4 linked regions of the Tamandua tetradactyla genome follow. The protein of the gene in region 4 interacts with the protein of the main gene of each other region in a pairwise test. Links are inferred from orthologs where the notes say so. Each region holds a gene or a part of one and is shown on either strand. Other genes may lie near its edges. The genes, in order: CDKN1A, INPP5J, CCDC146 and TRIM54.

Evidence for each region.
Region 1: the proteins of TRIM54 (region 4) and CDKN1A interact in binary tests that used the Homo sapiens proteins (3 or more experiments, as listed by UniProt). The two-hybrid records come from large-scale screens. The link is inferred for Tamandua tetradactyla from reciprocal best matches to the Homo sapiens genes TRIM54 and CDKN1A.
Region 2: the proteins of TRIM54 (region 4) and INPP5J interact in binary tests that used the Homo sapiens proteins (3 or more experiments, as listed by UniProt). The two-hybrid records come from large-scale screens. The link is inferred for Tamandua tetradactyla from reciprocal best matches to the Homo sapiens genes TRIM54 and INPP5J.
Region 3: the proteins of TRIM54 (region 4) and CCDC146 interact in binary tests that used the Homo sapiens proteins (3 or more experiments, as listed by UniProt). The two-hybrid records come from large-scale screens. The link is inferred for Tamandua tetradactyla from reciprocal best matches to the Homo sapiens genes TRIM54 and CCDC146.

What each region holds. Positions count from the first base shown.
Region 1 is NC_135331.1:93,465,032-93,472,389, reverse strand, and holds the start of CDKN1A (cyclin-dependent kinase inhibitor 1), read right to left. Parts: upstream 3,018-7,358; 5' UTR 2,926-3,017; intron 1-2,925. UniProt on the Homo sapiens protein: Plays an important role in controlling cell cycle progression and DNA damage-induced G2 arrest. Involved in p53/TP53 mediated inhibition of cellular proliferation in response to DNA damage.
Region 2 is NC_135331.1:31,638,140-31,645,529, reverse strand, and holds the start of INPP5J (phosphatidylinositol 4,5-bisphosphate 5-phosphatase A), read left to right. Parts: upstream 1-4,379; 5' UTR 4,380-4,462; coding exon 4,463-4,594; intron 4,595-5,474; coding exon 5,475-5,560; intron 5,561-5,709; coding exon 5,710-5,908; intron 5,909-6,469; exon of another isoform or gene 6,470-6,678; intron 6,679-7,390. UniProt on the Homo sapiens protein: Inositol 5-phosphatase, which converts inositol 1,4,5-trisphosphate to inositol 1,4-bisphosphate.
Region 3 is NC_135327.1:140,927,101-140,934,240, reverse strand, and holds the start of CCDC146 (coiled-coil domain-containing protein 146), read left to right. Parts: upstream 1-4,119; 5' UTR 4,120-4,292; intron 4,293-7,140. Other genes in the region: protein FAM185A, read right to left, coding at 3,197-3,647. UniProt on the Homo sapiens protein: Essential for sperm flagellum biogenesis and male fertility.
Region 4 is NC_135329.1:11,235,693-11,242,656, reverse strand, and holds the start of TRIM54 (tripartite motif-containing protein 54), read right to left. Parts: upstream 3,002-6,964; 5' UTR 2,957-3,001; coding exon 2,738-2,956; intron 753-2,737; coding exon 580-752; intron 1-579. UniProt on the Homo sapiens protein: May bind and stabilize microtubules during myotubes formation.

The sequences.
Region 1 (7,358 bases), on a different chromosome or scaffold from region 4:
CAGGCGAGAATTCTGCTACTGAGCCACCATTGCCTACCCTATTTATATATTTTCATGTGCCAGGGGAGGTTGTAAGCACTTTACAAATATTAATCCTCTTAGAAGGAAGGTAGATATTAGCTGTTTTTAAAGAAGAGGGAATCAAGGCTCAGAAGAGTTAAGCAATTTGCCAGGCCTGCCTGCCCTGGGTTCTGTGTTCTGTGCTGGCACCAACTCCCTCTCTTATTTTGAGGTTTCTTAATCAGAGATACCCATCAGCATCACTTGGGCAGCTTTTTCAAAATCCTCATTGAGAAGATAGGATTTAACAAATGAGTATGACTGCTGAACCAATATACTAATATTTCTTTTGGTCTCCAGTGTCTTGGAGCAGCTAGAAGAAAAAACGAAAAATCGTGGATCTGTAACCCATACCAAACTTTAAAATCTGTTCTATCACTACTTGTTAAAATGTACTTGGAAATTTATTACTTTTTTTGTATATATGTTATATTTCACACAACAAAAAAAGTTAAAATACACACACAAACATTGAGGGGTCCCCTGTCCCCAGACTAACTTCATGTAAATTAAAGGGGATTCAAGCAAGTGTTTGGTACTGCCCCGCAGGGGTGCACTCTTGGGGTGCCAGTCAAGGGGGGCACACTGGATGGCTGAAGCAGGCATTCTGAGTCTCAACAGGTCCTTTGGCACAAGGAGGAAGAGCCTGCCTAGGGCTTTACCAGGCAGCTGGACATCTCCTGGCTGCTAGGAGCTGAAAATGGGACGGGAATCAGGGCAGAGATCTTCTCTCTTACCACTCTTTCCTTTATGGCTCTCCTGGGCCTCTCTTCCCCCACCAAGCACCTGCTCTCAACCAACTCAGAGAAAAAACTCAGAAACACAAACCCTCAGATTTTACAAACAAGTAACAGAGTTCAGCCATATTTTAATTTCCCGGTAAACAGTAATCTCTTAGTAAATACTGTTGAACCAGTGGGGTACTCTTTTTAAGGGGTTAGAGTGGGGGAAAGGATCAGCGCAGCAACTGCGGCCGGGAAGGATTCCCGCAGCTGGATTCCGCGGGAAGACGGGTTGCTGTGCGCGCGGCGGCCGGGAGGGGGCACCGATCTCCAGGAAATCAATCAGGCGCGGGGTGGGAGGTGCGTGGGCCGAGCCTTGGAAGGTGGGAGGGAGAAGTTGTGATGAGTCAGTTTCCTGCAAAGCGCTCCCCGCCCGCCAAAACTCCGCTTCCACTCCGGCGGCGCGTCACCCCTGGGCTGGGAAAGGGGGAGAGCGCGGGGCGGGGCGGGGAGGCCAGGGCCGCGAACACGTCACGCTGAGCCGCCAGGCTTCCGAAACCCCCGCCGCTGTTGGGAAACAACCGCGCACTCTCGCGCCGTCTCTGTCACACACGCACGCACACACACACACACACACACACACACACTCGCGCCTGCACAAGCGCGCCGAGATCTGGCCCCTCCACCTTATCTCCACGCCCAAAGTACAGGATGAGTCAGATCCCTGGAAAATAAAAATAGACGGGAACAACGAAAACAAAACCGCTCGCGCGTCCTCCCCGAAACGCGACGTGGAGCGAGGGCGGCAGGAAGGGAGGTTGGGTGGGAGGGAGCTGCCTGGGCGCCCCAAAGTGCCAAATCCAGTACCGAGATTCTTTTCCACTCGTGTCCACCCGCCGCGGGACAGGGAGGCCTCCCAGTGACCCGCGCCGGGCGGCGGCACCCGAGGGGCGGGCGACTGGCTCTCCTGCTCGGCTCCGGCTGGTCGCCCTCGCACAGTGAGCTCTGGGCTAGGCCGGGGGCGCCCCGAGCCTCCCAGGGCGGCTGACACCGGCCCTAGACAGCTTTGGCGCCCCACACCGCTAAGATGCGACCCCTTCTCGTCTCCCATCCCGGCGTGGACCGCGTGCCCCACTGTCCCGGGGCGCCCGGCTCGGCTTGGACCCCAGAGTTCAGCGCCCCGGACCCTCCGGCAGGCTGGACGGGGTTCTCCCGGCGGCGGTGGGACCGATCCCTGCGCTTCTCCGACCGACAGAGAACGGCAGGAACCCGCCCAGATCCCGAGGGCGCGTCGCGGGGCGGGGGCTAGAAACCCGGTCCAGGACCTCCCGGTGTCCCGGCTTCCCTGGGAACACGCTGTACCAGCCAAGTGGGTCACTGTGCTGATGAACGGACAGACACCAGGGAGAGGCAGGGGTGGGGTCTTCTGGGGGCGCCACCGCCCCCCAGCCCGGGCGGGATTCTGACTTCATCCGGCCCGCTCCCCAGGGTCTTCTTGTCACCGTGAGTCACCTCCTCACTTGCCCTTAAGGGACGTGTCCTGGCACGTTCCCGAGGTCTAGGGACACAGCCCGCGCTGACCTCAGCGCTCAGCCGAGCGGCGAACACCGCGGCGTCGAGCTCCCGGACTTCGGGGGCCAGGGCCCTGGCGACACTGAGTGGACTGATTGGCCCAAGAGCCGTCCCGGGGCGGGGCCCACATGAACCTGCTTCGCTCCGCGTCCCCCGCCCCTTCGGGGACCTCCGGGAACCCGGCCTCATCCCCACGTCGCGAACGAGCGGGGTCCGGGGCGCCTCCCCAACGCGGAGAGTTCGAGGGCGGCCCCACCCACGCCTTCCCTCTCTTCAGCGGATTTTCGAGGGGAGGGGCGCCTGGCTGGGGATCCCCAGGACTCGTGCCCCCGCTCCGCCTAGAGTCTGGGACACATCCCGACCCTCATCATATGCGCACTTACAGCCATCCGTGCGCGCAAATCGAGTACTCACGGACCCACGCAAGTCATTCACCTGCCGCAAAAACACCTGTGAACACAGCACATACACACACACACACACACACACACACACACACACACACACAGCGGCTACGTTCAGCGCAGTGCTCCGGGCCAGGATGTGCTGTCGCCTGCCGCGGCTCCCTCACCTCGTCTGGGTGTCTGTGTCTCGATGAACTTGCACCGGAATCTGGATCTCCAGGCCACCGGCTCCCGCAGCCGCTCACACCTCAGCTGGCGCCGCCCGGAGCAGCCCTGATATAGCCCCTGCGCGGACACGCCTTAAAAGGCGGGACCGGCCGCTCGGCCCACCGCGCCGCCGGGGACCGCCCTCCCCAGGGGCCCGGGCGGCTCCGCGCCCGCGCCTGGCCCAGCTCCAGGTTCCTCGCCAGCAACTGGAGTCGGGGCCTCGTCGGCTGCAGAGGGCGCTTCCCCCCAACCCGCGCGCCTGGGCTTGCGAGCTTGACACATTTCTCCATGAATTTAGCCATAAGCCGGGCTTTTTCTGGTTTGGGAAGTGAGTGGGCTTTGGCCAGGAGAAGGCGGCATTGTTAGGATGAGACCCCTTTCCATTTCTGGCCCATTGCTGACCGATCTGGGCAAGGATTTACCTAACCCAGATTTATAAAAATTCTTAAAAAATAATAAAAATGATGCCCTTCACTTTGCAGTTCCCAGAAAAGTCTCACTACACCACCACTGATTCCACGGCACCTTGGGGTACCCAGACACCCCAGCAAAGTTTTGACGCCAGAGTGGAATTCAATCTCCTTTATTTTACAGATGAAGAAACAAGAGGCCCAGAGAACTAAAGGCTTGCAAAGTTGTTGCTTGCCAATCGCCTCAGGGAAAGAGGGAATTGGAGTTAATTCCATAAATCTCAGAAAGATCCAACCAGGTCTCCAGGAGAAATGGGACAGTGAACCAGCTTCCCCTTACCCCCCACCCCACCCCACCCACACACCTCACTCTCACCTCAGCAGAAGAAACCATTGTGGCTAGGTGGGGAAGAAGCATTGGTGAATGAGCTATCACCTGGATATTCCACAAAAACACACCCCACATTCACTGCTGAGGAAACTGAGGCTCAGAGAGTTTAAGTGACCTGGCTCAGGTCACACAGTGAATTAATGACTACGACAGCCCTTTTGCCTCCATTCCAGAGCTCTGCCTGCTGCCCCCTTTGCTTCAGTAGCTCTAGACCTCATTTCCAGGGGATTTATTGAAGTGACACTGATGAAGGACAATTCTGGAATTCTCCACTGGTGCTTCTGTCAGATATAGAAGTATGTGAGGGGTCCAGCTGCTCCCACCTAACCCCACACACCCAGCCCTCCTCACACCTTGCCTTTGCCTCTCTCACTCACTTCCAACATTTGCAGTTTCTGCTTTATTTTTTTATTTTTTGCAGAGAATAGAGTGTTAATCTGAACAGAAATCCCATTAAAAAAAAAAATAGAATCCATGCTTGGAGTGGCTACAATTACTGACATCTAGGGCTGTTGAGTGTCTGGAAATCTCTGCCCAGACATGCCCTGTCTTCTTCCTTTAATAAGGCTGACCTCAGGGAGGACAGGCCTTTTTCTCTACTGTGGGGCTGGGAGCACAGGTCCGGCTGGGAGAGCACAGTCCCAGACCCTCTCACCTGCCTGATCCTGGAGACAGGTCAGGATTGTACCTAAACCTCAGGAGGGCCCCAGAGATGTGAGACCTCAGGACCCACCCACACCACCCAAGGACTAAGTTTCCCAATGTCCAGCAGAGGACAGGCATATCCTCCTCCTGCCTTGAATCCCTTCTGCTTTTGGGCATTTCAAATAGACTTGACATTGTATGCCTGTTTATTTTGGAATTTTTTCCCCCTTTTAATGAAGGCTTGTATTGAATTATTTAAAGTTTTGTGGCACTGAGCTTCACAATGAAATAATTCTTTTTGTTGTTGTTGTTGGGAAATGATTTTTTTTTAATAACTCCTAGCTCCCCACCACCATTATAATGGAATGCAACAAATATTTATTAAGCATCTACTGAATGTCTAGTAACTGTTCAGTAGTTTAAAAATGTTTGCAACCATGCACTTGAATGTGTAGCCAGGCACACACTTCAAGGGGAAGAAAACTTCTCCCCTGAAGAGGGCAAAGGAGCAGGCTGGTAGAGGTCACAAGATCTAACTCCCACCACATACACACCCACACATACACTCAGCAGTGCCAGATCCCAGGCCTGCTCCAGGAAATCTGCTGTAAATCACATATTCTATTCAGAGAAACTCGGGCCTCCTGGAGAGAAGGAGGCCACGCTCTCCTTGGGGTCTCTGGGGGACCTCCTGTCTCCTACCACCCTCCTCCCTGCCCCAAAGTAGGCAGCCCCAAGGACAGAACAGCCACCAGCCTCTTCTATGCCAGGGCTCAACATGCTGGGACATGTTCCTGGAGGCCAGAGGACAGATGGAGCCACAGCCTGCTGCCAAGGCATGCTCTCCAGGAGGCAGGCTTAGAGACGGAGAGAGGGCTCAGCTTCGGAGACAGGAGAGTCCAGACCAGCATTTCTTCTGGGGCAGAGGAGCAGATAATGGAGAGGGAAGATGGAATGCCCAAGCCCGCGAAAGGAGGATGTGAGGAGGGCCCAACGGTGGCTGCAGGAGCTGCTAGGGAAGAGAGAGGAAGTGCTGGGATAATGTCACCATTTCTTAGAAGAGTCTCGGGGAGTCCCAACCAGGGACAGCCAGCTTTCAGAGGAATTCACCTCCACACAGGCTCCCAAGAAGTGAGGCCCAAGGGAAGAAGCAGAACAGAGATTTATTATATTACTGAGCAGAATAAGCCCTGTATTTTTTAAAAGAAAAATTAGACTGGGAGTCCACACTCTGACCTTATGGGGACTTTACACAGCCAGTGCAAGGGTCAGTACTGATCATACAGTGAGACACAAATATTTGTGGCAAAAGTTATACCACACAAACACTTCCAGCTTCCTAAGCCAACTGCCAAAGATTGAAATTTCACCATTAGAAATACATTCCTTTGGCTTAGATCTGTTCTTTGTTAAATAAGATCAGATAGACAAAGTGCTTATCATAGTGCTTGGCAAAGAAATCCCTTTATGAATATTAGTTATTATTATTCCTATAGTACAAACACTCCCAGGGAAGGCAACCCTTGGGGTTTAATAGTCATTTACACTTTAGTGATTGACTTAGGTAGGTTTCCCAGAAAACACACTCTGAGGTGGAGATTAGCATGCAGGAGGTTCATTGAAAAGTACATTCAGGATCAACAGCAGTTTGGGTGTACAAGAAACAGGATTGGGCAGAGAGAGAAACTGGGCTGTGATAGAGTCTAGAAGCTCTAATGAGGTTTAAGGTGATCCCACTGGGAGTTCTGGAGCTGGGATGCAATGCCTTCAACAGTCATTTAGAAGGCAGAAATGAGGGGCGGGGGTGGGGGTGCTTGATGCATGACTTTGTGCAAGGGAGCTCCCTTATCTGAGGACTATTCCTGAAGAAGGACTCAACTGTGAGCATCAGCAGCCAAAACTGCCAGCATCCAGTGGGGAAAATGTCTGGGTCCTGCGAGGGATTCTGGGTGGCACAGTGCAATGTCCACTACAGTGTGAATGAGTTGATCAGATCATTTAGGGATTAAAAGGAGGTGAGGAAGTACCGTGGTCATAGACCACTTAAGGAGCAAAGGGCTCTCTGTGTCTTCGCACATACCCTTCCCTCTTCCAGGGATGAGTTTCCCTAACCAACCTAGTCCCTCCATCCTCCCCACTGCCACCGCCACCACCCTCTCACTCAATGACCCACCCTAAGTGACTCCTTGGTGTTGAGGCCTTTTCAGGCCTCTCTCCAGTTCCCAGAGCTCCAGGAGAGCAAGCCTGTCCGCTGTGCATTGCTGGCCTGCTTTGTTTACGTGCCTGGTACATCCTCTGAGCTGCAAACGCAGAGATGTTGAGCCCATATTTTATTCATCTTTGTACCTTTGAGATCTGGCAGCTTCAGCTGGGAGCTCAGTGAATATTTATGGAAGGGCCATTTTTGGACTGCACTCTGAGATTAGACTTCAGTGCCCTTGTTTCTGAGGCTTCTCTTCTATTTATTCATTCATCTGTTCGTTTGTTCACTTAAAAAATAATGTAATTAATACCTGCTGCTCGACCCAAGAACTAGACCATTACAAATCACTGACATACCTTCCTTATGTGTTCCTGTTCTGTCCCTTCTTCCCCTACCTCAAAGTAAACAAATATCTTTAATCTTGTTTAACTTTCCATTGTTTTAAATAGTTTTATCATATGTAGCCAAGACAATAAAGCTCAACCATTTTTCTATGTGCTTTCCTACACTTCCCAGCCTTCCCACCCCCGTGCAGATAGGCAGGGCCAAATGACTAGTTCTGGCCAACATGAGCACATGTGACATTTGTCTCTTTAGGTTGAGGCCAAGAAAAACCCAGGTTTAATTCTCCAGTGTTTCTGTCCTCCACATCTGTTGCAAACCGGAAATCTCATGTCCCAGATAGTGCCACAAGATGGTGGAGCTTCCATCAGCCTGGGTCCTTCAATTGTATGAAACACCATG
Region 2 (7,390 bases), on a different chromosome or scaffold from region 4:
CAGCGAGGTGCCCAATTGCTTGGTTCAGGTTGTTTATTGAAGCACTGTTTATCATGGTGAAAACTGGAGAAACAAACTAAGCGTGTTATAGCAGAGGATGAGCTACATAACAAAAGATGCCTCCATAGGATGGAAAACCTATTGTTTAAACTGTTAAAATGATGTAACATGGTATGGATCAATAGGCAGACATTATATTAACATTAAAAAAAATAGCAACAACGACAAAAAAGAAAAAGCCAATGCTATGAAACAGAAATATCAGTTTGGATTTGGGATGTTCTAGGCTGCAAGTCACAAAAGAAACCCCTATTTAAACCGGCTTAAACAATAAAGAGAATATGTTGGCGCAAATAACAACAACAGCAAAAACTGTCTAAGGGCAGGGAGGGCTTCAGATGAGTTTCAGTCTGGTGGATGAAGTCACCAAGATCTTTGCTCTCTCTGTTCTTTTTTGCACAATATCAATTTATCCTTAGACCAGTTCCCTGCATTGTGTCAAGATGGTTACCACCGGTAACCAGGGCTGCATACAGGCTTTTTCATGCACATCTCATCATGGGGAGGTCACCTTTTTTGTGTGTGTGTGTTTTTTTTTTTTTTGGTAGCTTCAGAAGAGAAAACAAATTGAAAGCTGTTAGCAAAAATCTCCTTGTATCTCACTAGTCCATCCATGATCCAATCAAGGGATGGGAATTGCTTACTGGCTTAACCAATCAAGGCCCATTCCTGAAGCTGTTGAGCGGGGTCCATTATAATCCAATTCCTGTTAAAAAGGGTAATAGGTTTCAACAGATGTTGTGGAGGCAATGTAATAGCCAATCAATTTTATAAAATATGTACATATCAATAAATTTGCCTAGAAAGAAAAAATCTAGAGGGAAACAACCCAAAAAGTCAACAGTGTTCAGTTCTTAATGGGCAAAATTATAGGTGAAATTTTTTTCGGCATTTTCTGTATTTACCTAAACACAAAGAGTAAACTTGTTTACAAAAATAATGGGACAGGGCGGACCGCGGTGGCTCAGCAGGCAGAGTTCTCACCTGCCATGCCGGAAACTCGGGTTCGATTCCCGGTGCCTGCCCATGCAAAAATAATAATAATAATAATAATAATAATGGGACATATCTCACTGGTTCCCTCTATCTCACCTCCTCCCCAGCAAGGACCCAACATAGCCAAAGCTGGAGACTCATGGAGCCTGTGGTTTTTCTGCTGATGGAGCCAAACCTCAGTGCCCTGTGGACCCATGCTGTTCGCTGGACGGATGCCACCAAACCACTCTCATTGCATTAACCAGTATGCTGTGGCCTAAAGGGGCCACAGGCTGGGCTGCTGAGGGTTTGACTAACCAGCCAGTGGAAGTGGCAGTGGAGACAGTGGCCATTACAGTACCGGGAACATTCTGGCATCAGCAGCCACACGAGTCCCAGGACAGGTCGCTGCTGGTAATCCACGCCCTTCTGTGACAGCCTGTAATGTTGGCCAAGAGCCTTCCTCTGGTAGGGCTGGAGTTGGGGCTTAGTCTGCGATGGGGTCAGTCTCAGACAAGGTCAAGGTTAGACCTTAGTCTCAGGCCAGGTTTGGAACTGAGTCTGGGGCTGGCGTCAGAGCTCAGTCAATGACTGGGCCAGGGATAGTCTGTAACCAGGATCGAGGCTCAGTTGTGACCAGGGCGAGGGCTCAGTCAGTGACCGGGCTCAGGGCACAGGGTCAGGGTTCAGTCGTGTGACCAGGCTTGGAGTTCAGTTAATGAGGGTCAGGGCTCAGTCTGGGGACAGATCTCAGTCAATGATGAGAGTTGGAACTCAGTCTCAATCTGAGATCAGGGCTTAGGTACTGGGGTTAGAGTTCACCCTGTGACTAGGGCTCAGTCTTAGGCAGGGATCAGGGCTCAGACTGGGTCCAGATTGAGGTCTCAAACTGTCATCAGCCTTAGTTGGACTGAGGTGATTAGAGTCAGGGCTCATTCGAAGGCCACACACAGTCAGAGCTCAATCTAGGTCTGAGGTAGAGGGCTCGATCAATCCCAGCATTAGGGCTCAGTTGGGATCTAGAATCAAGGACATGACCAGGGCTTGGTCTGACTCCATGCTCTGTTCTGATCCCTGGTAAAGAAGTTTCTGGAGACATGGGAGCCCAGGGCAGGTCTGTCTGCAAGAAACAAGAGCCCCCTAGCCAAACAGATCAGATGCTCGTCCCTGCAGTAAGCCTCCCCTTGCCTGCCGAAGCTGGGTGTTCTACAGCCTTCTAACCTACATGGCTCCGCTGCTCGAGATCCCCTCGCACCAGAATAAAAATAGCCACTCACTTCAGAGCAGCTGACAGCGGGTGCGGGCTGCCTGGGAGGAGGGGGAGCTCAAAAGAGGGAGGACGGATGTTTGAGCTTGGCCCCAGCTGTGTGACCTTGGGAAAGTCACTCCTCCTTGAACCCACTTCCTGGGGGACAGAATGGGGAGTGAGGATGATACCTGACCGAGAGGGTGGAAATGAGGGGCCAGGGACAAAATATATCGTACCTGTTACTAGTAAGGAACCCTCGGGTGAGGTCTTGGAAGGAAGAATGCTGCCCTATGCCCTGAATACCTCCTCCTCGGGAAGCTTTCCCTTTTGCTTACCTCTTCTATCTTCCCCCAGTACCCTGTACCATCCTGTATGCCTCGAGACATTTCCCAGCTGGTGGCCCCTGAGCTTGACCTTCCTCATGGTGGGCTTAAGTCAGAGGGGCCATTAGCCTATTCAGGCACCCCTGGGAAGGAGGAAAGAGGAAGGAAGAAGATTTCTCTCCCATTCCCTGCTCATGGTGTTTGCACTCTGAGCCAAAGGGCCAGGGGGGTATGCATCCAAATTTCGCATCCCTTCACAGCCGGAATCTTCCACACTCCTGATCTTTGCATCTGCTACTCCCTCTGTTTCCTGGGACATTTCTCCTCTTTTCTATTTGGCAACATGGGCTCTCCTTCAAAGAAGGGGTTCAACAGTCACCTTCTCTGTCTGGGGTAGTGGTGGGGGTGGAATTACCCACGACCCCCCTGGGAATCCCTGCTCTGTCTGCTACTGGTTGTGGAATCCCTGGTTTCTTCTCTCTCTGTCACATGGGGAATTTTCTCCCAATCTCACAGGGTTACTTCGGAGAGTAGCTAAAATAATCTATACCAACCGCCAGCTCTCTCCCTTCCTTTCCTTGACCCAAAAAGTCCGGAGGGTGGCACTGAGAGCTTCCAGGAGGGGCCGGGTGGGCTGTACCCTCTGCCTTGGCACACCACCACCCACCCCTCGGTATGAGGGGAAGGAGGGAGCCAGGAGGGGCCTCCGGAGACAGCCGTCTCCAGGGGGGCGGCTCTCCTTGGCAGCTGCCCCCAGCCTGCCGCCCTGAGCCCCAGAGCCTGTTATCAACCTGCTTAGTCATCACACCAGGAACTCAAAACATAGCTCCTACCCGCTCCCGGCTCAGTTGGGGTCCATCCCCCGCCCCCTTCCCCTGACAAGGCCAGGCCTGGGGTCTCAGAGCCCCTTCCTCTTCCTTCCAGACATGCAAATGCTCTGGGGCCTCAGTTTTGACATCCATTAAATGGGCGGGCTGGATAATGATGGTGATGGTGATGAGGAGAAGGAACTTACAGTAGCAGCTGCCTTTCCAGAGAGTTTGCCTGTGCCAGGCTCTGTGCTAACCACCTCATACGCATTATCTTGTTTAGTCTTCACAGCAATCTTTGCTGTTTTTATTTCCCCAACACAAATAGGAATCTGAGTCACTTGCCTAAGTAAGTCAGTGGCAGGGCCTGAAACAAGGTCACCTGCAGGGTCTGAGCTCAGGGAGGGGAGGGTGATGGAAAATCCTGTCACCCTTTTCATGCTCACTTGCATGGGATTTGCCTTGCTTTTAAAGGACACTGATGTCCCTCTACCGGCCCCAGGTGACTGAGCCCCTGGGTCTGGTTTCAGGGACCTGAATCTGTCTCCCAAGAGTGCATCAGAAGTCCAGTCTTCTTGGGGGCCTCAGTCTCTTCCTCTGTCAGATGGGGGATGGCTGAGTTCAAAGGTTCCTTCTGTCTCTTGTGGCCTTAGCACCAGCACCATGTCCATTTTCACCTCCTCGCCTGCCGCCACCATCAACACTATTACTTCCGCCCCTTCCTTCCACCACCTCTACCTTCACCATAGTCTGTGTTCTTCTTGTCACCTCCACCATTGCCAGCACCATCACCTCTCCCTCTTCCACTATGTCCATTTCCCTATCCTCATTATCATCTCTAGCATCTCCTCTCATCTGAGCCATAACTACCACCTCCACCTTTGCCAGCACCATCTCCACCACAACTCACGTCCCCCATCATAATTACCTACATCACCAGTGCCACCACCACCTTGTCACCACTGTCATCACCTCTACCATCACTGTCCACAAATCTTTCTAATATGGCCTGAGTCTCTGCCCATGCAAATTCCAGCCTCACAGAGATGCTGGCCCAGACACACAGACTAGACACTAACACCCTCAAACAGAGGTGGGAAGTTTATCCAGGACAGGAAATGAGACATCTGTCCATGCCTTTCGTGAAGGGGACCACACAGACCCATGAGGACGCAGGGGTGAGTGTTGATCAACCAGGAACATTTATGCACAAAACTCTGGACCTCTTTTGCCTAAGCTGGGTGGGATTGCTCCTCTCTAAATCATCCAGCAAATCTGGAAGAATTGGGGTTTCAAGGCTGCTTAGCAGGAAGGAATAGTGTGGAGGTCCCACAGTCATACATCCCTAACCAAATCTGACCCTTGAGTGACTCACTTTCCTCATTCATTCATTCATTCAACAACACTGCCCTGGTCCTGTTGGGTTCGAGACCCTGCGGCGTCCTGGCCAGAAGAGTTCCCAGGTCTGTTTTTGTTCTAACTATGAGTTCATCCCCCCACTGCAGGGCCCCTTTCCACCCCAATTCCCTTTCCCCAGATACTCCAACTGGCTTTTGCTGGTCTTGGGTCACTGAGGGAGCTTCCTTTCTTCTCTGGGACTCGGGAGACCTCTCTAGTTTGCTGGGTGACCTTGAGCGAAACCAGCTCCCTCCCCAGGCCTGTGTCTCCCCTTCCCAAACCATGCCCAGTGGGCACTGGGAAGGAGAATGCCGAAAGGAACTGGGTTGGGACAGGGCTGGCCATGAGGACACCGGATAGAGACTAGATATCTGCAGAAAAGGAGAGGCCAGCGCTGCTGAGGTTGAAAGGAGAAAGGGCTCTGGTGTCTGGAGCCTGAGTGCCTGGCTCTGCAATGGGAAATAAGAGGGATAGAGCCAGGATGGGGCATGGAGGGAGGGTGCAGAGGTGGGGGGGGGGGACCAAGTCCTGAAAATGGGGCAAGGGTGGGGGCCAAGGCAAACCCTGAGTTGGCAGGAACTCAGGGCGAGGAGTCAGGTTTCTCTGAGGCCCTGGAGAGGGTACTAACCTCGGAGCCTCCTGTCCCTACCTCACCTGCAGGTGTGTCAATGCCCCTCCCTGGAGCAAGGGCTGGGCAAGCCTCCAGGAGGGAGGGTGGGGACAGACTGCCTCCTCCATGCTGCCAGGTGAGACTTGGGCCAGGCCAATTAGCCCACCCCACCTCCAAGGCCTTTCCAGTAGGAGCAGCTAGCATGAGGGGTTCCCAAGGGGGAAGCCACCTGGCCCTGGCCACCTCCAGGTTGGGAAGTGGGTGCCTGTGCCTTTAAATTCTCAGCAGGTTGAAGTGGCTGATGACATCACTGGTTCCCGGGGAGCGGAGGAGCTGGAGTCAGAGCCTGAGGGAGCCCGGGCTGCCAGGGGCTGCAGACATGGAGGGCCAGAGCAGCAGTGGCAGCAGGAGGCCAGGGACCCGGGCTGGCCTGGGTCCCCTGCCTGTGCCCCATAGGCTTCCTCAAACTGGGACATCCTCCAAGGTAAGACCCCTAAATCCCAGACCGCCCCCCCCCCCGCCCAGTTCCCATCCCTGGGCCCACCCCCACCCACCCCCTAGCACTGGCACCCAGGTGCAGCTGGCTAGGGGACTAATATTCTCCTCTGACCACCAGGTAGGTTCTGGGCAGAGAGTAACCTGGGGGTTAGTGGGAGGAGGGCACAGTGACAGGACACCCAGAGAGAAATGGAGTTAGCCATCTCCGGAACCCTCCAGGAGATCTATGGACCGTGCATCGGGGGATCTAACTGGGCTCCAGCTTTGCTGTGTGACCTTGGGCAAGTTGCTAGTCTCCTCTGAGCCATTGTAAAATGAGGGGGCTTATGCCCGTAGGCTAAAACTGTGCCATCTGGGGTGTCTAAGTTATTAGTGCTGGAGGTGGCAGTGTGGGGGAAAGCACACAGTGGGGCACTTGGAGCCCAAGAAGATGCCCAAAGGCAGTTTTAGTGAGCTGAGTTTGAAGAGGGAGGTGAAGGCAGAGTTTCAGGTTCTCTGAACCAAGAAGGACACATGATACAGTTGGAACTGCATCTCTGGTGGCAGGGATAGGGCCACTCCAGGGCGAGTACAGACCTTCTTCTGCCCTCCCTGGGAAAGGACGCTTCATCCTGTCTTCTGGGGACAGGGGACATCCAAAACAGGAGATGAATGGGGAGGTGAGAGGAGGTCCCTCAGGGCCCTACTCTCCGCCACACCACCCCACCGCCAGCACTTCCCAGACATAAAAAGATACCTGCTTGTCTGTCCTCACAGGTAGGGGAGAAGGTGAGAGATAAGAGCGGGAAATAGCTTGAGCACACAAAGAGGGGCAATCCCAGGGCCAACTTGCTCTGAATGTTAGATTCATCCTCGTTGAGAACAGATGATTCCATGGGGCCCAGGGGAGTCCTAGCGAGTGTTGGGCTTATAAATGCACTGACTATGGGATGAACATTCTCTATGATACAATGTGACCAGGTGCCCTGCATTCAGCCCCTTCATTTTACAGAGAGGGAAACTGAGGCCCCGGGCACAGAGTGACTTGCCTGTGATCACACAGAAGCTCAGCTTGGAATCTGTGTGGCAGTCCCAGCTGCAAGCTCTTGCTCCTGCATGGAGCTCTGGGAATTGGATGGGTAGGGCAGAAAGGGCTGTGGCCAAGGGGATTGGGAAATCTGGGTGGGGGTGGGAGGGGACCCAAAAGGTCCTAGAAGAAGGGAAGGTTATTTAACAGACTGGTCTCAGTGTATTCAGAGTGGGCACACTTGGGGTGAGGTCAGCAGCCCTCAGCCAGGGGAGCAGCAGAGACTGCAGTGGAAGAGTTTGCCCGGGGAGGTTGGCTCCTGCCACCCAACATTCTAAGGTGGGCAGAAAGTGGGTGCTGGCTAGGAAGGCCATGGGCTTAGGCCCTTGGGTTTAGGTTCATAACTCTGCCTCATCTGTTTCCCCTCTAGGGGGTCTTAGTTTCCCCATTTGTGAAAGGGGT
Region 3 (7,140 bases), on a different chromosome or scaffold from region 4:
AAGCCCTGAAACCTAGAGGGCCCAGCCTCCCTAGAACATCAGATAGTTCCATCTCCTTACCCCAGATTAGTGACAGATGCTTCCAATATGAAAAATTTAGAATGGCCATAGCCCAAACACCCCAAACAAATGACAGAAAGATCAAGGGTGATGGTGGAGTTAAATAATGAAGACAGGATTTAACAAATGAATATGAACGCTGAATCATCAAACTGATATTTCTTTTAGTCTCCAGTATCTTAAAGTAGCTAGAGGTAAAAACCTAAAATTGTGGAATTGTCACCCATGTCAAACTCTGAAATATGCTCTACAACTAATTGTGGTGCTATGCTTTGAAATTAATTGATACTTTGTATATATGTTATTTTTCACAAAAAAAGAAAAAAAAAGTCAATTGTGATGATAAAAAATATTTAAGCCTTCTAGCCTCCTATATACTGGAGAACCTAGCAGGGAAAAAAATCTGAGAGGATCGTACGGTAGCCCATGACAAACTCTGAGATCTGTCCTGTAACTACTTGCTGAAGAGTGCTTTGAAAACTATCGCTTTTTAATTTCTTTGCTTTGTATATGTTATACTATACAATAAAAAAGTTAAAAAAAGAAAACAAAAAGGTTATGTTCACAGTATTACCGAATTGTGGAGAGAGCATAATTGTCAACTCTCTCTAAAGTTAAAGGGTCTCCCCCATGGCAACAAGATCAAATGTACTGGTCTTCTATCAGTGTTTAGACTAGAACAGTTATTTTTGTTAACCTATATCATCTAAAAAGATAGGTTCCAATATTTCCTATTCACAATTTATTTTAATCATTTAATAACACTTATATACTACAAAGGATATCCTGGCACTTCTGGTGTGCAGAGAAGAAAGTAACATAGATGGAAAATAAAGAAGACAGGAGACTACAGTTAATGTAGACACTCCTGATTAAGATTATGGAAACTTCTCCCCCACTGAAAAAACACACATAGGCATTCGAGCAAGAATAAAGCAAGTTAACAAGCCATTACGACAAATCAGATAAGTCAGCTGATTCTCTCTTATATTCAGGAAGATTTAAAGATTTGTTCCTGGATTAGCATGGGTTAGTCACACAAATAATCAATCAGGATTTCAAATTCTCTCTCTAATCTTCCATACCAAAACTAATGATATGTCCATGCAGTTATATCAGAAGATATTTTAAGTAATTTTCCAAATGGGAAAAAATGCTGAAAAATAACATTTAAACTACACGGTTATGGGTAAATAACCACAGTATCTGAAGTGACTTTGGAAAATAAGGAGTCACAGATGCCATCCTTGGCTGTCAACTTATGCATCTCTGTATAATCTGATTATAAAGACACAGGGTAGAAAGGTAGAGAGAAATTAAGGAGAGACAGTGAGTGGTAGTAATGCTACTCTCACCCATTCACACTGAAGCAGGTAACAAACTGGGGGAACAGGTAGCATGAAGAAAACAGAGTAATGTTGATTTGAGGTGCCCACGTAATAAACACATGGAAATAGTTCGTTGGAAATGGGGTTCTGGCTCTAAAAGAGGAAACAACAAATTATAAGGTTTGAGAACACCATCATACATAGTATCCAATTTCATGTGTTTCCATAAAATCTTGCTTAGGCCTATTTCAATATGCAGTCTATTTTGTGCTATAATAATCATTGGCAAATCTCCCTCCCAACCCCAGATTGTTACATTGTTAATGGTAAGGTCTCTTATTCACCTAGGCTAATTAAAAGTTGGGATGCAATAAAGTGTTAGTGGTTGAGCAGTGTGATGGTTTGGGATATTGCACTCCAAAAAAAAAAAAAAAAATCAAAAACAAAAAACACGTTATTAAGCTTAATCTATTCCTGTGGATGTGACTCCATTATAAGTAGGACATTTTCATGAGTTTGCTTCAATTACAGTATGGCCCAACTCAATCAAGACAGGTCTTATTCCTAATAGTGGAGTCCTTTATACAATGCAAGAAATTCGGACAAATAGAAAGAAAGCCATAAGAAATAAGAAGCTACAAGTCAACAGACCTCAGAACCTGGAAGAGAAGGGAGAGGCCAGCAGAGACTGTATACGAACTGCTATGTGACAGAGGAGCCAAGGATCAAGGATCACTGACAGCCAGCCCTAAAAAACACTGGTCTTCTGGAAAAAAGCATCACCTTGATTTGAGTATCTCCAAGCCTCAAAACTGTGAGCTGATAAATTCCTGTTCTTTAAACTAACCCATTGTATAACATTTGCTTCACCAATGAACAAGGAAACTAAAGCAAGGATTCTGGAGTCAGTTCATATCCCAGCTTAACCATCAGTTTATATTTGAGCATTAGAAGGTAAATTCCATGAAGGTATGAATTTTTTTCTGTTTACTCACAATAAAAATTTGCTTTATGAAGCTGGCTGTATCTTAATCTGTATTTCTGAAAATGGAAACAATAGGTATTTACAGTGTAAGAAAGATTATCCTAGAAATGTTGGCTGCTCTTATTATGATCACCATCAGTACCATCATCATCAGCCTGGAAAGACCTTCCTAGAAGTGTTGCGTACACATGGATTGCACTAAGGAAAGTAACACGGAACCCAAATACCTAGGAAACATATCCTATGGACATAATCAATTGATGTTTCCCAAGCAGCCTTACCAGGCGTTTATCTTCAAAGCCCTGCTACTCTTGGAGAATTTATCTAGGCCGAAAAGAATGGTGATGTGCCACTAAGTAGTTAGGCCACTATTTTAAAACCAAACACTTTGCCTAGATTAGATATGGAGATTTTAATAGAGAGGGGTGTCCCTGGGGCAGAACCCCAAGGCTGTGATCAAGGAGAAATGTGGACGGACTGCCATACGATTGAACAGATTATCAAGAAACCTCAACCATGAAAAATAAACCTGCTTGCTGATGACAAAAGTGTAATGACAGAAACTGGAATAAGTGTCAAAGGAGACCAGAAGCGGCTTTACAAACGTTGCTTGACTTGAGTTCAGCCAATCATGTAATCATTCGATTTATAAAATTTCTACACCTAGGAACATAATTCCCAACTTTCAGTAGAACTGAAAAAAAAAGAGGCAGCTTCTCAAGGAGCCAACTAAAAATCTGGATAGAATGTCAGGTCCAAAGGGCGGCATTTACTATGTCCCCTGAATGTGCCCTGGGACCCGAAACGTTTTAACTTCACTTGCCAAACTTCAATGGCGCGTTCACCTCCACGGAGGCCTGGGGGTCTATGGTCTCAGACACGATGGTCATCTCCTTCTGCTCCTCGTCGTACCTCACCAGCAGGCCGTCCAGGTCCTTCACCCCGCCCTCCACGCCGCTCACCGCGACCAATACGCGGTCGGCGTCCGGGTAGGTGAGAGGGTCTAGAGGTCTCACGACCAAGTGGCACGGAAGCCGCGCCCACAGTCGGCCGAACGGGCTCACCAGCAGCGTCCATTCTTTCAGCGTCCGGCGCGCGGAGCAAGGCAGAGTGACTTCGGGCTCCGACTCCGGCCAGTGTTCCCCTCCACGCGAGCTGTAGGACCTCGCCTGGCAGGTCCGACACACCCCGCGCCCGGCGGCCTCGCCGACGCACACCCGGAGGTGTCGGAACAAGAGGCCGTAGCGCCCCCAACTCGTGCAGGGGCCGAACATGGCGTGCCCCTCTCGCGCTCCCTCAGATCGATTCAGTCACAGGGAAGGTCACCTGCCACGGTCGATGTGACCACTGATCCGCCTCAAGTCAAAGGGGAAACAGTTGCGAGGGTTGTGAAGCAAGAGCTAGCTCGCCCACGTTTGTGAGCAGATTTAAACCTCAACCATACAACACCCGGCGACAAAATGGAATTTCAACACTCTGAAATAGCAAAGCAGACCGGAACTCAGCAGCCACCAGTCCCCTTTCGCTAAGGCCGAGGGGATAGGTAGTTCTAGCCATCTCAGATGTCTAAGAGCACTAGGCAGCATAGAAACTAAATATCCCAGAAGGCAATGCTCAGCGTAGACTCGAGAATCTGGGTGGGTACTTGACTGGGTTCTGAAAGCAACACTCGCTGCCTCAAACCCATTGGCCATTGAAGGGGGCCGGAAGAAGCTAGATGGGAAATCCAACTGGCCAATGAAAAGTGCGGAAGGAGCAAGGTCGGCAAGTGTCTGTAGTCTCCTTGGATACCGAGGACGCGACTTCTTTGGACAGAGGGGGAGCTTTCTAGTGAGAACCAGGAGGCTAGAACCTAAAGAGAAAAATAAGACCCTAAATAAGGAGCAGGACCAAAGAAAGGAGAAGCTGCGCTTTTCAAGGTGAGAACTAGCAGCAAACTAGGAATTCAGTCTGGATGGTTAGATCCAAACTTCACTCAACTTGTGCGGAGTGTTGGCTAGATATAAAAAGCCGATTGGAGGCTTTTGAGGTAACTCCCTCTCGGGTAGTAAACACAGGAATAGCGTTAGAGTCTGGCTTTTTCTTGACTTTAGTTGATCGTAGGCCGGTCATTGGATATCTCTGGGTTTTACTTGCTCACGGTTAAAATAAGGACAACAGAGCCTTCCTGCCTTACCTCAAAGGGTTTTTGTAAGGATTAAATGAGGTAATGGTTGTGAACGTGTTGCATAGTCTACAAAAATGCAGTGTAATATACTGTATTTTTATTTTAAGAATAGCATTGACTTTTAAGTTACAAAGAAAAATATGAGCGATTACGACTTGTTTTCACAGCAACTTTGATTTATTTGGCTATCCTTAGTTTTAATGCTAAGTAAGATATTAAAAAGAGAGAGCCAACGTGGTGCTGTGGAAAGTGCAGGACACTAGGGACTAGATCCTCTTCCGGGTTCTGACGCTGTTCTGTCTTTGGACCTGTCTCTTCAACTTTAAAATAAAAGGGCTTTACTAAATGAGCCTATAAGTTATCTTTTACCTTTTATTAATTTTGGTGCAATAAAAAAATTAAAAAGAAAAGATTTATTTCCCCCTTTCCTGTGTCTCTTTCTTTCTGTGTCCCTACCTCTTCCTACAAGTTATCCCCCAAGTTGTTTAGCAAAGACACATGACAGTTTTTTAAATGCAAGAGCTGGAACTGAATGTCTTAAAAAAATAAAATAAAATAAAGCCCTTGGTCAAGTACAATGACCAAAATTACTAGGAGCAGTAGTGATAACGAGACAGAAAAACTGGGCTAAAATCCTCGTGGGCCGAAGACACAGAGTTCTTTGGTGACCATTACCTTTGTAAAAAGGCAGTATTCTCATAAGCTATCCTTTCGCTTCATTCTGCCCTCATAGGCCTCTCTCCCTCCATATTCTTTCTTGAGTGAGAACATGATAGGTGCTAACAAATGCCCACTAGTTTTGTCCTTGGCTTTGTTTCATTGTGTCATAAATATTCAGACTGGTTTTCTTCAATCTTTTTTTCTTTTTTTGCAAATCCATGGGCATAACTTTAAAAACAAAATTTTTAGGCTCTGATTTAAACAAGTTGAAAAGGTACTCAAGTTTTTCGAAGAAATGCCAGATATACATAGATTGGATACAAATCCTTGTAGATAATTCTTTTTCTGTGGTAATATTTCCTTTTTTGAGACAAATCCACGTTAATAGAATTGGCAACTAAAGTTGTCTGCGTGGCATAATCATTGTCTTCCTCTTTTTTAATAAAAAGCACAAATAAATTTGAAGAGTTTTATGATAATGAGGTGGGAAATGAGGAAAATATTGATATTAGGATTGATATAAAATAATAAAAGTTATTGATACTTTAAAAATAGACTAATGAAGTCTATTACATTTATTCCTGTACACACTTTAATAACAACTAATAAAAATACTACCTTCTGTCATAATTAACAGTGCTGAATGGTGTGTGAGTGTGATGGAAAGGGGAAGTTTAGAGTCATGTATGTCATCAGAAGGAAAGTTAGAGGTTAAAACATGGGAATATATAAAATAGTGAATCTTATGATGGACAACGTCCATGTTAACTGTACAAATATAAAAAAGTTCGTTTGCAAACGAGAGCAGGTGTATGACACTATTACAAGGAGTTAATAATAGAGGGGTATATGGGAAAAATGTACCAATCGCAAACTATGAACTGTAGTTAACAGTAATATTTTACTCTTCTTTCATCAACAGTAACAAATGTAGCAAACCAACTCTATGGGTCAATAATATGAGGGGATATGTAGTATGGGAGGATTAAAGTTTTCTTTTTTATTTTATTTCTTTTCCGGAATAAATGTTCAAAATTTGATCTTGCAGCTATGTGCCTAACCATGTCATGATACCGTGAACCACTGATTGTACACTTGGGATAGTTTCTATGCTGTGTGAATATATCTCAAACTTTCATTTAAAAATACTAAATTCTGCCTGTATAACATTATAGTTTTCAAAGCAGGTTCACATGTATTATCTCATTGTTTACTCACAAACGCTCTATGTTTAGCAAGAAAGCTATTATTATCCCCACATTATAGATGAGGAAACAGATTCAGAAAGATTAAGGTTAAAGAACAGAAGGTTTGTTCCTCTTTCCACTCTACCAAAACGTTCTTCTATCTTCCTGGCACTGTTGAAGAAAATAAGTTATTCATGGCATGAGTGGAAATTCATATTAATTTTCCCCTTGAATATAGTTTATCTGTAAACTCTTCAGTTTAAAGAAAAAATCGTTCTTGTGGTCATGAGCATATACTGCTTGTGAGAATATAAATTAGTATAAACTTTCCAGAGGATCATTCAGCAATGATAACCAAGATCCTTAAAATATGCATTTTGATATTGTACTTTTGGGGTTTTAAAGTATGCATGAAATTAAGGATGTGCCAAAAAGAAGTTCAAGGAATTTGTTTTCCAGTGTTATTTATAATAGTAGATAATTGGATCAATTTTAATAACCAGCAAAAGGGTATTACATAAATTAGTATACATCTGGAATATTATCCACCCATTTAAAATTTATGTATTTGAAGACTGTTCAGTGATATGGGAAATATTCCATAAGGTTAAATGGAAGAAGTAGAGTACCAAATTGTATGTATAATATGAACCCAATTCTGTAACAACAAGTTTAATATAAAACTATGTTGCATAGAAACAATTAGGGAAATACACAACTTGATAACAGTGGTGGGAGTATGAATGTTTTCTT
Region 4 (6,964 bases):
CCACCACCACCACACCCTCTGCTCCTGCAACTGGGGCTGTGTGGGCTGGTGGGTGCCTCCCACTGGGCTCTTAGTTTGGGAAATAGAAAGAGCGAGAGGAATAGAAGAGGCCAGGATCCAGGAAGAGCCTCACATGATCTGTATCCCAGGGCCAGGGAAGTCCCACGTGGAGAGCTGACAAGGACCTCACAGGTGCTTTCAACCAGACTTCAACCGGAATGACCCACTTGTCATGGAAACAAGGGAAACTATCTCAAATCTCAGGGGAGCCCTCCTGCCATGATCTGCACATGTCCCCGGGGTGGATAATTCATCAGCTACTGTGGGTAGATATTCTGAGCCAACGTAACCATATCAAAGCACCCAGGGTAAATCCCTCCCCACTCCCCCACTCCCCCGCTCCCCCACCTCTGCGCTTTCCCCACCCCCGTCTGTAACCCATTCTCTCATCTCCAAACTGAAGAGGTTGAAGAGGTGGGTAGGTGGCTGGTTTCTGTTTTCCCTTTCTGGCCTGGATGGGTTCCCTGGCTGTGTCCCAGGCCCCAGGCCTTGGAGAGGCGGGAACCCCTGACAGCTCACCGGGAGGACTCCTGCTTGTAAATGTCAATGATGTTCTCCACCAGCAGATTCCTCTGCAGGCCATAGACCCCATGTCGGTCCAGCACGACCTCGTGCCTGCAGGAAGGGCAGCGGAAACGGCCTCCCGAGGACACAGTGGAGGAGCCCCGGGACTGCCACAGGGGGTTGGAGGCCTGCGGGGGAGGCAGCACGAGGCATCAGGGAATTGGGGGGAGGCTGGAGGAGAGGCCAAGGGCCTGCAGCAGGAGGGGAAGGGTGGAGGGGCAGGCATCAGCCTGTTTACACAGCTGGGGCTTCCTCTGGGAGCAACAAAGTGTGGGTGGCCATAGACATCGTGTTTCCCACTCTGCCTCACTACTCAGCTCTAGCTCCTTGAGTGTCTGTGTGTCCAGAGCTTAGCTGTGGCCAAGGCGTAGAAGGTGCATACCCCAGAACAAACATGTCCTTCATCTTAGCCCGTTCCTATGGGTGGGAAGCCATTGCCAAGGCCTTTTGAAGATGCTATTTTGGTTAAGGGGTGGTCAACGGATGAGGTTCGGCCTTCGCCCTCTTCCTGGAGGCTTTATGAAGAGGAAGCCATGTGAAGGAGTAGATGTGGAAGGCAACAGAACCCAGAAGAGAAAGGAGAGGACATGCCATGTGACAGGACAGCCAAGGACCCCGAGGATTGCCAGCCAGCCAGAATGCTACCAAACCTGAGAGGAAGCAAGGCTTCTGGCCTCTGAAACTGTGAGCCAATAAATTCCTGTTGTTTAAGCCAGCCCACTGTGTGGCATTTGTTGTAGCAGCTGTGAAATTAAGACAGCCTTGTTGGGATGGGATTTCTCCAAAGGGGCCTGGCATGGAGCTATAGGGAGAAACTGGCCTGGATAGGAGAGCTAAGATAAGAAATGGACCCTGAGTGGGTTCTCTGCAGAACTGAGTGGGAGCACAAGCAGAGGTCCGGCTGAACCAGCTGGGTGATTCTGGGAAATGCTTCCAGGGGCTGGGAGTCCAGGAGTCCTGGGCTCTGGTGCTGTCCCTGACACTGTTTCACGATGTGAACTTGGGCAAGCATTCAACCTCTCTAAAGGACTAGAATGGAGTATTCATTCTATTGTAAATATTGACTGAGTATGCCAGGTAATTGCTAGGTCCCAGGAGATAAAGATATGAACAAAATGCATATCCCTGTCCTAAGGACAAGCAAACAGAAAACTGCCTCTTGCAGGATGGGTGTCATGACAAGGGTAAGCTCCGAAGGAGGATGTACCACAGATGCTCATCGCTTCTTCCCATGTACACCCTCTTCTTAGAGCACTTGCTCCCTCCCATCCTAAAAGGGAGAGCCCTGCCTAGGACTACCTATTCCTGGCCACAGGTGATGGTCTCAGAGTTGAGAGGGTGATCAACTGAGCCAAGCAAGGCCAGATATTCTCTCCTAGGAATCTGGATTTGAGACATAGAGGCTGAAGTGGCTTGAGCAAGTGCAGCTCTGGAAAAGGCCTATGGAGTTGGGCTAAGAGCTGACATTATGACCACCCAAATGGAAGTAGACGGTGTGGGGGGCAGAAGCTATGAGCCTTAGAGAGAAGGCAGGTCTGCAGAGAAGAGAAAAGAGCCAATATGTAGAGAGAAGCCAGGAGGAAAAATAGGCAGAGACTGCTTGTCATTCCTTGATCTCCACCCCCTCACCCCACTTTCTTCTTCAATAATAGAGTCCTTGAATTTTAGCAAGACACATGACTGCCTGGAATAAAGACCATGCATCTAAGCCTCTTTTCTCGTTAGATGTTGCCATGTTGCTATCTCCCGGCCATTTGGTATAGGCAGAAGTGCTTTGTGCAAGTATCTTTAATGGAAATGCACACACCCTACTCCTGCCCTTTTCTCCTTCCTGCTGGCTGGAATGAATGTGGGATGGCTGGAGATGAAGCAGCTGTCTTGAACCATGAGATGGTACCACATGCCGAGAAGGGCAGCAAGATAAAAGGAGCAGACCTCTGATGAGCATGGTGTCACAGCAGCAGTCCTGGTCTGCCTGCCCATACTTACACTTGAGAGAAAACACTAATTCTTACCTTCTTTCAGCCAGTTTGGGATTTTCTGTCACAGCAGAACCTAATCCTAACACCCAGAAGATCCTGTACACTTAGATTGTAATGGAGAAAGTAATCACCTGTGACTTTCCATATTTAGATGTGTTTCCTGCAATTAGGTTAAATGAAATTCTCCAAATTCTTATGATCACTCCTCTTTCTTTAAGCATACGTGAGCAGTTTTCTGATTCTTGAAATCCAATGTGCCCTGAATCAGAAAAAAAGGCTATTCTGTCACACAGGTTGCTTTTGGCTGCAAAAGTGGGCTGGAAACAAACCACAGCACAACTTCCTTCCATGCAACAAGTGGTGGTGGAAAGGGTATCAGTGGGTATGACCAACTCCTGGCTGATATCCCCCCAGCCTCATCTTCTCCCACTCTAAGAAGAATGGGTTTCTCTCAGCCAATCTGAAAATTTTGAAAATTTCTGAGGAGACTCTGATTGGCCCAGCTTGGGGCAGATGCTCAGACTTTGGACCAACTGCTGAGACCTATGGAGCAAAGTAATATGATTGGCCCTGCTGGGTCATGTGTTCCCCTTTCAAAAGTGGGGCTTGGCTGTTTGTATATAGCATGCTCGTTCCCAGAAACTTCGGGTATCTATATGACACCTGAGACTCAGAGTTAAAACCCTGAAGCTATGAAAGTCAGCAGTACCCCATGCAAGAACTGTTTAAAAAGTTGAAAAAGTGATCAGTCTTTGAGTAGAGATATGAATGAAGAAATCTGGATAGGACTGTGGTAGATCAGAATACAGGGTAAAGGATGATATCATCCATTATTTAAAACTTCAACTTCTGTGTGAGACCAAAGGGAATGATGTTTATTGCGTGAAAAATCTATATTTTGGGTAGTGCATTTCTTAATTTAACTTCCTATGTTCAGTTTAGTTGAACACTAAGTACATGGAATCATGGATAGGGTGTGAGGTTTTGTTGACTTGCTCAGGTTAATGTGATGCCCCGATAAATCCCAGAGTGGTTCGGCAGTGAATAAAGAAGTATTTGCAAAGTCCCCTTGCGTAGTTGGGGGGAAGAAAGGAGGAAATATTCAACTTCCCCACTTGGAGAATTTCTGATATATGCGCAAGCAGTGGGGACAACCAAATCAATAGGTTAGGCCTTGATCTTGGGGTTCACCCCTATGAAACTTATTCCTGCAAAGGATAGGCTAAACTTACTTAAAATGAGGCCAAATTCCCTAATATAACTTATGTAGACAGCTTAATTGAACACCATAAGTACATGGAATCTTGAGTAGGGCATGAGATGTTGTTGGTTTGTCCAGAGTGATGCCCTGATAAATCCCACAGTGATCTGAACAGTGAATAAAAAAGTATTTGCAAAGTCCCCTTCAGGGAATGGTGAGAAAGTGGGAAAATTCAACTTCCCCAAGTTGAATTTTTTTTTCATATTCTCACAAGCAGTGCAGACAACCAAAGCCATAAGCTAAGCCCCCAATCTTGGGGTTTGTTCATATGAAACTTAACCCCACAAAGGATAGGTCAAGGTTAATTAAAATTAGGCCTAAGAGTCACCCCCAAGAGAACCTCTTTTGTTGCTCACATGTGGCCTTCCTCTCCAGCCAACGCAACAAGCAAACTCACTGCCCTCCCCCTGTCTATGTGGGACATGACTCCCAGGGGTGTGGACCTTCCTGGCAACGTGGGACAGAAATCCTAGAATGAGTTGGACTCAGCCTCAAGGGATTGAGAAAAGCTTCTCAACCAAAAGGGGGAAGAGCGAAATGAGACAAAATAAAGTGTCAATGGCTGAGAGATTCCAAACAGAGTCGAGAGGTTATTTTGGAAGTTACTCTTACACATTAAATAGATATCACCTTGTTAGTCAAGATGTAATGGTGAGGCTGGAGGGAACTGCCTGAAAGTGTAGAGCTGTGTTCCAGTAGCCGTGTTTCTGGAAGATGATTGAATAATGATATAGCTTTCACAGTGTGACTGTGTGATTGTGAAAACCTGTGTCTGATCCGTCTTTTATCTACCTTATCAACAGATGAGTAAAACATATGGGATAAAAATAAATAATAGGGGGAACAAATGTTAAAATAAATTTAGTAGATTGAAATGCTAGTGATCAATGAAAGGGAGGGGTAAGGGGTATGGTATGCATGAATTTTTTTCTGTTGTCTTTTTATTTCTTTTTCTGAATTGATGCAAATGTTCTAAGAAATGATCATGATGATGAATGTGAAAAAAAAATAAACTAAGGCCTAATAGTCACCACCCAAGAACCTCTTTTGTTCCTCAGATGTGTCCTCTCTCTCTAAGCCAACTTGGCAGGTGAACTCACTGCCTTCCCCTCTCTATGTGGGACATGACTCCCTGGGGTGTAAATCTCCCTGGCAATGAGGGACAGAACTTCCAGGATGAGCCGGGACCCAGAATCAAGGGATTGAGAAAGCCTTCTTGACCAAAAGGGGGAAGAGAGAAATGAGACATAATAAAGTTTCAGTGGCTGAGAGATTTCAAACAGGATTGAGAGGTTATCCTGGAGGTTTTTCTTATGCATTATATAGATATCCTTTTTTAGTTTATGGTGTATTGGAGTGGCTGGAGGGAAGTACTGGAAAGTGTTGAGTTGTGTTCCAGTAGCCTTGATTCTTGAAGATGATCATATAAAGATGTAGCTTTTACAGTGTGACTGTGTGGTTGTGAGAACCTTGTGTCTGATGCCTCTTTTATCCAGGGTATGGACAGATTTTAAAAAAAGTATAAATAAATAATAGGGAGGAGAAAGGGTAAAAGAAATTGGATAGATGGAAATACTATTGGTCAGTGATGGGGAGGGGTAAGGGTGTGGTATGTATGAGTTATTTTCCTTTTTCTTTTTCTGGAGTGATGCAAATGTTCTAAAAAATTATCATCATGATGAATACACAACTGTGTGATGATATTGTGAGCCACCTGATTGTACACCATGTATGGACTGTATGTGTGTAAAGATTTCTCAATAAAAATATATTAAAAAAAAAAATTGAGGCTCGAGTCAAAGACAGCAGCTCCCACCAGGGAAGGGAGAAGAGCACAGCTCCAAAAGAAGGGCATGGGTTTGGGCACAGCCTCTGAAGGGAATGGTGGAGAACCAGGCAGCCACCCAAAGACCTGTTGTAGGCACCTAACTGAGCAGTTAAGGGGGGAGGGAAGTTTGGGGATTAGTAATGTCTCTGCTAATTCTGAAGGATGACTAAGGGTGAGCCCGGTAAAGGGACAGGGAAGGAGGAAAGAGTGTGTCAGGTCAAAGGAAGGGGGTCAGCAAAAGCCTACAAGTGAATCTGGATTGGCCATGTCCGGAGGACTGAGCGGTGCTGGGTGCTGGCGGGAGCGTGTAGGCAGTGGAATGGGGAAGGAGAGCGCCTGAGGGCCTGGTGTACCTCTCTCCAGAGTCTGGACTCTGCTCGTAGGGGCATGAGAAGCCATTTAGGAGCTTTAAGCAGAAGGAATGATGTAATCGAGTATCCATTTTAGAAAAGTTATGTGAGGAGGATACACTGAAGGTAGGTGAGAGCCAGGGAGCTCCGTTAGGAGGAGGACACTGCAGTGACCAAAGAGGAGCTGGTTGTCCAAACCCAGGCAGTGGAAAAAGGCGTGAGGCTAGCAGTCAAGAGATGAAGATACTAGTCACCGTTTCTCCATCTTTAAAAGAGGCTATTGGTCTCTGCTTTATCTACAGCCCAGGTTTCTCATTGAGAAGAGTAGATGGGAGAATGCTGGGATACCCCCTTGTAAACTATAAAGCACTAAACTATACAAATGTGAGGTCCCTGACATTCGCCGCCTAGGACCCCACTATGGGGAAGGGTGGAAGAGATGCTGAGACCCACCAAAGTGAAAGATGGAGGGTTGCCTTGGGGCAGGGGTGTACCTGCGCGAAGGTGTGGAGAAGGCATTTTGGAGACCAGAACAGTCTAACCAAAACTATAATAGAATTCATATAGGAAAACCATCTACTAACAACTAGAGGAGTCTTATGTATGTTTCCTTAAAAGAATCTGAACATTTAAAAGCCACAACACATTTGTTGTACAGTAATACAAATTTCTTTGTCATTATTATAAAACTTTAATTTTCATATACTTGATTTGGTATTATCAACCCATCCTATAGACTTCATATAATGGCCTTAAAAAGAATCATGAGGGGTGCATGGATGGCTCGGTGGTAGAATGCTCACCTGTCATGCAGGAGACCCAGGTTTGAGTCCTGTGCCATTCACATACCCCCACCCCACCCCTCCCTCCAAAAAAAGCATGAACTATTTTTGTTCTAGAGAATTAGGTTGTTTTTGAA